Macaca mulatta: one gene and its partner. The protein of the gene in region 1 purifies or fractionates together with the protein of each later gene. This does not show direct contact. Links are inferred from orthologs where the notes say so. Each region holds a gene or a part of one and is shown on either strand. Other genes may lie near its edges. The genes, in order: STX10 and NAPA.

Region 1 (4,426 bases):
CCCAGAGACGCTACAGAACGACCCTACATACACAAGAGACGACCCGCTGAGACCCCGTTCATCCCATCTCTCCCCTTCCCAATTATTTCCCCCATACAAGGCCCCCTCCCAGGTTATCCCTGACCCCTGCCCCACACTGATCTTCTCAGGCCTTGGGGCACCCTCCCGTCCCGCCCTCCCCCCGCACGGTGGGAACTCAAAAATTATTCCCCCTTAAAAGACCATTCCCAAACTCGTCCCCATTCAACGATGGTGCCACACTGCGACGACCTGCCGAAGACGCCCCCGTCCCCGCCCCACTAACCTTACCACGGAGACCCCACAATGACTTACCCGGCCCAGGCGCTATCTCTGAGACCCCACGCAGCAACTCTGACGCGCAAGGGGGCGACCCTCTGAGGACTCCCTCGGATAACCCGCCCACCCTCCAGGGGAGACCAGGCCCCCTACCACTCAAAAAAGTGCTTTCCCGAAGCTTCCCTCACCCCTCAACACACAGAGCGCCACTGTCACACATAGGGACGACCCTGAGTCCCTTCGCTGATATTCCTGGCCCGTACCCAGACGGAGACCCCACACAGAGGGCCCCCCTGGAGACCATCCTCAAAGCCACCATACCTCCCGCGACCCCCAGGCTCTCACCCAGAAAGAATCCGCGCTTCTGAAGACACCCACCTCCACGCACGCTCTCGAAGGTGACCTCCCCCCGCCCCTGGAATATCTGGGACCCCCACTCACGGCCACCTCGCCCCAAGGCGACCTCGAGGTGCCCCCAGCTTGCCCACTTCTCAGGAAAGAGAGATTTGGAGAATGCGGCAGAACTCCCCGCAGGAGCAGGCCCGCTCCTCGCCCCGCCCCGGCAGGGAGAAGGAAGGACCACCTCTCCCCCAAACCTTGCCCAAACCTGACACTCGGGACCCTGGACTGGGACGATCTCCCAGGTGCCAGCTCAGGGAGTCCATGAAAACGTTCAACCAATCGAATGAGCCCCTTCCCCAGCCATAGTCCCCAGCCGCCAGAGATAAGGGAGGCTACCATTATTTACATTGCCCGTGCCTGGAAGGGAAACTGAGGTTGAGCAGGAACAATCCGAGGAACTGAGCCTTGAACCGAGATTCCGAACTCGGACCCGAACAGGCCCAGCCAGAACTCCGACACCGCTCCCTACGGTGCGGCACAAGAGGGCGAAGGGGCGGGGCATGCGTACCGGAAGCTGCCTCTGCCCACAACCAAGATGGCTGCAGAGAGGGCGGAAGTGTCCGCACGTCCGGCCTCCGAGGCCTCTCTTTCTGCCCTGGCGGTCCCGCTCTCGATGGTGGCGTGACGGGGGGCGGGGGTGGTGGCGCGTTCTCCTGGGTTGGGAGAGAACCAGCCCGCGAACCCAGGCCGGGAGGGGGTTTCGGCCTGGGGGGAAGGGGATTGACATGTCTCTCGAAGACCCCTTTTTTGTAGTCCGAGGGTGAGTGACCACGACGGGGGAGGGCGGAGGGTGCTCCGTCCCCAATCCAGCTAGTGCCCGGGTGCCGGCTCCAGCGTGCCCGGCGGGCTAGGCAAGGCCGTCGGGGTGCAAAGTGGGAGGCGCACGCAGGGGTATGTGGGGGTCTCCGGAGTCCCCCATGCGTTTGGGTTTGCAATCGGGGGCAGAGGCAGGCGGAAGGACCGCCTGCCCCCAGCTGCGCCCGCCGTGCCCCTGCCCGCAGCGAGGTGCAGAAGGCGGTGAACACGGCCCGCGGGCTATACCAGCGCTGGTGCGAGCTTCTGCAGGAAAGCGCGGCGGTCGGACGCGAGGAGCTGGACTGGACGACCAATGAGCTACGGAATGGCCTGCGCAGCATCGAGTGGGACCTCGAGGACCTGGAAGAGACCATCGATATCCTGGGGCTTTGTGGCGGGGGGTGGCATGGGAGAGCTCACTGGGGTAGCAGGGGGCCTGGGAGCCCGCCCTCGGGGAGGGCTAGACCCCTAGGGAGGGGGATGATGATGCTATCTGGCTCTGGCCTTGACCCTTGACTCTCAGCCCACGTATAGTGGAAGCCAACCCAGGCAAGTTCAAGCTCCCGGCCGGGGACCTGCAGGAGAGAAAGGTGTTCGTGGAGCGGATGCGAGAGGCAGTCCAGGTCAGGAAAGGTCCTGCAGGCGGGGAGTGGGGGACGGTTTGAGTGTCTTTTTTGTTTTGTTTTGTTTTGTTTTCTTTTTTTTAACAGAGTCTCTGTCGCTCAGGCTGGAGTACAGTGTTGCCATCTTGGCTTACTGCAACATACGCCTCCCGGTCTCAAGCGATTCTCGTGTCTCAGTCTCCTGAGTAGTTGGGACTTCACAGGTGCCTGCCACCATACCCGGCTAATTTTTGTGTTTTTAGTAGAGACGAGGTTTCACCATGTTGGGCAGGCTGGTCTCGAACTCCCGACCTCAGGTGATCCACCCGACTCGGCCTCTCAAAGTGCTGGGATTACAGGCGTGAGCCACCGCGCCGGGCCTGAGTGTCTTTCCTCCCTAATGCTGTCCTCACTTCCAGGAAATGAAGGACCATATGGTCAGCCCAACAGCCGTAGCATTTTTGGAGAGGAATAACAGAGAGGTAAGCCTTCCTAACCCACTCGGTCCACCTGAGCGCCTGGGGGTGACCACGCCTTTGAGTGCAAGCCAGATCCCTCTGCATGTGTTCGCCTGTCCCTTTTGCGACAGTGCCCGTCCTCTCTGTGTGTAGTTGTCTTCTTGCTGTCTACCTGCCTGCACTTTCTCGGTGTGTGCACCTGAACTTCTCTGTGTGTATATGTCCATGGGTTCCTCTCTACTGTCTCCTCTGGGTCTATACTGGTTTCCTGTTGCAGGGGACGGCTGGGGGCCTGTGTACCTATCTGCTTTCTGCTTCCATGCCATTTGTCCTGTTTGTAGCTGTTTCCAGGACGCATGCCTGCCTTTTACTCTTTTTTTTTTTGAGATGGAGTCTTGCTCTGTTGCCCAGGCTGGAGTGTAGTGGCTCGATCTCAGCTCACTGCAAGCTCCGCCTCCTGGGTTCAAGCGATTCTCCTGCCTCAGCTTCCCTAGTAGCTGGGATTACAGGTGCCCATCACCATGCCCAGGTAATTTTTATATTTTTAGTAGGGTTTCATCATCCTGGACAGCCTGGTCTCGAACTCCTCACATTTCACATCAAGTGATCTGCCCGCCTCAGCCTCCCAAAGTGCTGGGATTACAGACATGAGCCATTGCGCATAGCTTCCTTTTTTTTTTTTTTTTTTTTTTTCCTGAGATGCAGTCTCGCTCTGTTGCCAGGCTGGAGTGCAGTGGCGCGATCTTGACTCACTGCAACCTCCGCCTCCTGGGATCAAGTGATTCTCCAGCCTCAGCTTCCTGAGTAGCTGAAATACAGGCACATGCCACCATGCCCGGCTAATTTTTTTTTTTTTTTGAGACGGAGTCTTGCTCTGTTGCCCAGGCTGGAGTGCTGTGATGTGATCTTGGCTCACTGCAACCTCCGCTTCCCGGGTTCAAGCCATTCTCTGTCTCAGCCTCCCGAGTAGCTGGGATTATAGGCTTCCACCAGAATGCCTGGCTAAATTTTGTATTTCTTTTTTCTTTTTTTTTTTTTGAGATGGAGTCTCGCTGTGTCGCCCAGGCTGGAGTGCAGTGGCCGGATCTCAGCTCACTGCAAACTTCGCCTCCTGGGTTTATGCCATTCTCCTGCCTCAGCCTCCCGAGTAGCTGGGACTACAGGTGCCCGCCACCACACCTGGCTAGTTTTTTGTATTTTTTTAGTAGAGACAGGGTTTCACCGTGTTAGCCAGGATGGTCTTGATCTCCTGACCTTGTGATCTGCCTGTCTCAGCCTCCCAAAGTGCTGAGATTACAGGCTTGAGCCACTGCACCCGGCCAAATTTTGTATTTCTTTTTTTTTTTTTTTTTTTTTTTTTTGAGACAGAGTCTCGCTGTGTCTCCCAGGCTGGAGTGCAGTGGCGTGATCTCGGCTCACTGCAAGCTCTGCCTCCTGGGTTCACGCTATTCTCCCGCCTCAGCCTCCCAAGTAGCTGAGACTACAGGCGCCCGCCACCACGCCCGGCTAGTTTTTTGTATTTTTAGTAGAGACGGGGTTTCACCATGTTAGCCAGGATAGTCTCGATCTCCTGACCTCGTGATCCACCCGCCTCGGCCTCCCAAAGTGCTGGGATTACAGGCTTGAGCCACCGCGCCCGGCCCAAATTTTGTATTTCTAGTAGAGATGGGGTTTCAACATCTTGGCCAGGCTGGTCTTGAACTCCTGACCTCGTGATCCACCCACCTCGGCCTCCCAAAGTGCTGGGATTAGGTGTGAGCCACCGTGCCCGGCCAATTTTTTTTTTTTTTTTTTTTTTTTTTTTGAGACGGAGTCTTGTTCTGTCACCCAGGCTGGAGTGCAGTGGCCGGATCTCAGCTCACTGCAAGCTCC
Region 2 (4,325 bases), about 46 Mb from region 1:
CTCCTCCCTCACGTCTGGCCCCTGCCAGGCAGCCTTTGGATGAGAAGTGTGAATCTCACAGCTATGTTTCTGTGCTGGAGTCACCTGCCCGCCCAGCCCTGGAGGCTTTTGTAGGTCCAGCTCCTGCCTCACTTAGTGCTCTTTTCTTCATGGGTGCACGTTTTGAATCCTCGCTGCATCCCATTAAAGTCAGCACCATTGTCACCTCGTCTTACAAGTGAAGGTGGTGAGGCTGGGACCAGAGTCCCTTGTTTGAGGCCACATGGCTAGGGACCTGTAGTCCCAGCGTTCCAGATCTTTGTGACTCCCGTTGTCACGACTTTAGCTGTAGCTCACATGCCCACCTATTTTCGGGGCGCTTGGCAAAAGAGGGGCCAGAGAGGGCAGTGGGAGGGGACGTGGCCAGAGGGAAGGAGCTGGAGGGTTGGTGCTAGATTTTGCTTGGCTGGAGTTTTCCTGCCATTGCCTGGCAGAAGCATGGAGTCCAGGATTTCCTGGTGTCCCTGGCTGCCCAAACCCCTGCCTCACGGCCTGGGGTGATGGCCCCACACACCCCCCACACACACACCCCATAGAGCCCTGCTCTGCTGTGGGCACCGGTGGTGGGCAAAAGCTTGGGCTTTGTCAGACCAGGTTCACATTCCCACCCCATGTCTCACCGTGCCCTGGGCAGGTCACTGCCCCCTCTGGATCTGTTCCCTCACTTTCAAAAAGGGGCTCACCGTTATTTGACCCTCTCAGGGTCCTCAAGAAGCACCAGCCCCAGGCCTGCCATGGAGGATGTGCTCATTTGTCCCCTGCCCCAGCTGAGCCAGGTGGGAGGAGGCAGTGGGTACCTGTCTGAGGAGCCTTCCCCCTCCACCCACCTCTCCCTGCAGCCGTCTCTGCCAGCCAGGCTGGTGCTGAGCTCAGCTGCGGGAAGGTACTGACAAACAGAGCCAGGTGACACCTGAGGCTAGAGGAGGGGCGCAAAGAGCTGACTCAGTATCACCAGACATCCCCAAGTCCCCTCGGCTGCTAGGCCAGCAGCTCTGAGGGCCCTCTTGTTACTAACTCATCCTCCCCCTTCCCTGCTGCCCAGCTGGCTGTCCAGAAGTATGAGGAGCTGTTCCCAGCTTTCTCTGATTCCCGGGAATGCAAGTTGATGAAAGTAAGTGCTGGGTGCTCCAGCCTCCCCCTTCCCGAACCCCAGATGGGGGTGGCCGGGGCTCCAGGTGGGACAATCATCAAGACTTGTCCAGTGGTTCTCAGAGGGTATGTTTATTTTGTTTTCTTTTCTTTGGCCATTTGACTCTCCATTTTTCAGATAAAGAAAGTACAACTTGGGGAGTGCTGGAGCTCGGGATGGCTGGGTGAACACACACACACACACCCCACATGCACATGACACACATCCCACACACACACCACACCACACACACTACGTACACCACACACTACACATACCACATACACCAAACACTACATACACTACACCAAACACTACACACACCACACCACATGCTACACACACACCACACACGACACACACCTCACACAATCACTACACACACCACACACACACACACGACACATTACACGACACACCACACACATCACACACGACACCACACATACCACACACGACACACACCCCACACGACATACCTCACACACATAACACACACCACACGACATACCTCACACACATAACACACACCAAACACACCACACACACACCAAACACCACAGACACACACACCACAGACACACCACATATCCACACACACACACATTCTGTGTGATGTTCTATGTTGGTAAGGTTGCCCTGAGAGCTAGCCGTTTCTGATGAGTAGGGCAGCAGGATTGCAACACGCCCCTACCTGTCCCCAGTTTAACCCACATGGACTGACCCTCTGAGAGTCCTCAGGAAACCCCAGCCCCAGGCCTGGCATATAGATAGTGTGTGCTTTCATCTAATCCAGGCCGACCTCAGGTCAGCCTGGGCCCCAGACCCCTCTCTGCCATTTCCTTGCAGAAGTTGCTAGAGGCCCACGAGGAGCAGAATGTGGACAGCTACACCGAGTCGGTGAGTGGCCCGCATGGGGGTCAGGCCCCTTCACAGGGATGGGTCCCCTAGGAAAGCCGCCCTTCTCAGACATGCTCTCCCCTGACATTCACCCATTTTTATCTGGCCCCCAGCCCACTGTGAATTTCTTTCTCCATTCACCCCAGAAACCTCACAAGTAGCCCCAAGAGATGCAGGGAGTGTTTTCCCCATTTTACAGATGGTGGCCTTGGCACCTCAGGGGCAGAGCTGGTGTTCAGAGCCACATCTGTCTGCTCCTGAAGACCAGGGTTCCTTGAGTCCCCCAGTTGAGTGTGTGAGACTCACAGTGGCCGCCTTGGGCACCCAGGAGGCACAGACTGGGAGGGAAAGGGTGAGAAGGAGAGTGGAGCTGAGGACACGGGAGAGGCGCCAGCTTCCCTCTGCCTGGTGGAGCCGCCCACGTGGCTCTCTCTCCCTTCCCTTTCTCTGTTCCCAGCGTTCCTGGGCTCAGTGGCGTCCGGCTTATAGGTCCTGATTCGCTCCTCTAATGGCACATGTCAAGCATTTCTCCCCAGGTGCCCCTTGGGAATGGAAGCCCCTAGCTGAGGACAGCGAGCAAATGCCATCCGGTTCCTCTTGCCCCGGACAGTGGGTGGCAACTCAGCCAGGAGCTCAGGGAGGGGATGCCCAGCAGGCTGCGGCTTCTCTCTCCCATGCCCCATGGCACTCAGGAGTGGCCTTTTCCGTATCTCCAGGCCTCAGTTTCCCACCCATTCAATGAGGATGCTGGACCTTTTTTTTTTTTAAAGCTACAATCCCTCTCCCCCAAGGGAAATGTTGTGCCTAGCATAGTCAAGACAGACAAGAAGGAGCTCCCCTGGCTGAGTCGGGGCCTCGAGCCCTCCCTCTGCTCCTTCTCAGAGACCAGGGTGACAGGGACAGATCTTGAAAACCTTCAGACAAGTGCCCTTGGGCTGCAGGGTTGGGAACAGGGAGGAGCATGGCCAGCCCATCACCTGGTGTGCCCTCAGGTGAAGGAATATGACTCCATCTCCCGGCTGGACCAGTGGCTCACCACCATGCTGCTGCGCATCAAGAAGACCATCCAGGGCGACGAGGAGGACCTGCGCTAAGCCCCACCCAGCCTCCCAGCGCCCGTCTTCGTGTCCCATCTGCTTAGAGAGAGGTGGGGCCGAGACTTGCTGGAGAGCTTCCCTCCTTTCCCACCTGGGGAGTCCCGCAGGCCACAGTGGGCAGGTGGCAGCGGGGGTCAGCATGCGGGGGCACCAGAGGCCCAGGCTGCTGGCTGGACAGTCACCCTCTGCTCTCGCTACATCCCTTGCTCCCTGCCCATTTATTTAAGCCCCCATAGGTGCCCTTCACCCCCAAAACCAGCTGTACAGAATCTTTGATACAGACCTATTTGCTAGGGGTGCTGCCGGGGGTTTGGGGTCAGCATCTGGCCCCCCATCTCCTGACCAGCTGATTCATGAGGCCGGTTTCTGTCTCTCCCACTTTTGTCCCCCAGCCAAGCTCTAAAGCACATGTAGCCGCTGAGACTTGCTGTCTCTACGGGGGGAAGCTCCTCTTCCCCCAAACTCTGGGAGCTTCCCCCAGCCTCCTGCAGCCCCGACCTCTCAGGTTAGACCCCGGGCCCTGGAGCTTAGGGGGTTGTCCCCGACCCCAGCCCCACACCTGCTCCTTCCCTAATGCTTTGAGGTTTTCTTGGTTGGAAGCTGCAGCTGGCCCGAGAAAGAAAATAAAAAACAACACTTTTGCATGAGTCTCTCTTCCTCCTTGTCTCTGCTACCCACTTTGCCCCTGGGCCGGTCACCTGTTCTCCTCACACTCCTGGTCCCCCAGACTCTGGGCAAGCTCTTGGGAGGTTGGGAGCATGCATCCTTGAAACACGTGTGGGCTGGGTCAGTTTCTAGGTTGGGGAGACCCAGGGATGGTGGGCCTGGGGAGGAGCTCTGGCTTGGAAGTCCCAGAGCGCCCATCTTGATCTAACTTTCTCTGGGTTCTTGGGGTCCAGGGACCTTGGTTTCCTCAACTGGGATGCATGGTGATGATGCCACCCCTCAGAGCCAGTGGGAGGGTCGAATATGACAATCCTCATGACTGCTTTGGATGAGAATGGGTGGAAGCTCGCCGAATCTCCCATGTCCACATTTCCCTGGCAGGAAGGCTGAACGCCCCGGTGACAGTTGTTCCATCTGTCACAGGACGGGGGAGGAAGCGGCTTTGGTGGGCAGAGTCTGAGGCCCGAGTGGGTCTGGGGAGTGGGGGAGGAGAT

The links.
Region 2: the proteins of STX10 (region 1) and NAPA purify together in Homo sapiens (affinity purification with mass spectrometry; 3 studies listed by BioGRID and IntAct, with this or other methods). This does not show direct contact. The link is inferred for Macaca mulatta from reciprocal best matches to the Homo sapiens genes STX10 and NAPA.

Annotation. Positions count from the first base shown.
Region 1 is NC_133424.1:13,721,053-13,725,478, reverse strand, and holds the start of STX10 (syntaxin-10), read left to right. Parts: upstream 1-1,418; 5' UTR 1,419-1,424; coding exon 1,425-1,459; intron 1,460-1,700; coding exon 1,701-1,870; coding exon of another isoform or gene 1,871-1,880; intron 1,881-2,022; coding exon 2,023-2,117; intron 2,118-2,515; coding exon 2,516-2,578; intron 2,579-4,426. UniProt on the Homo sapiens protein: SNARE involved in vesicular transport from the late endosomes to the trans-Golgi network.
Region 2 is NC_133424.1:59,984,912-59,989,236, reverse strand, and holds the end of NAPA (alpha-soluble NSF attachment protein), read left to right. Parts: exon of another isoform or gene 1-110; intron 111-1,081; coding exon 1,082-1,150; intron 1,151-2,017; coding exon 2,018-2,068; intron 2,069-3,060; coding exon 3,061-3,162; 3' UTR 3,163-3,813; downstream 3,814-4,325. UniProt on the Homo sapiens protein: Required for vesicular transport between the endoplasmic reticulum and the Golgi apparatus. Together with GNA12 promotes CDH5 localization to plasma membrane.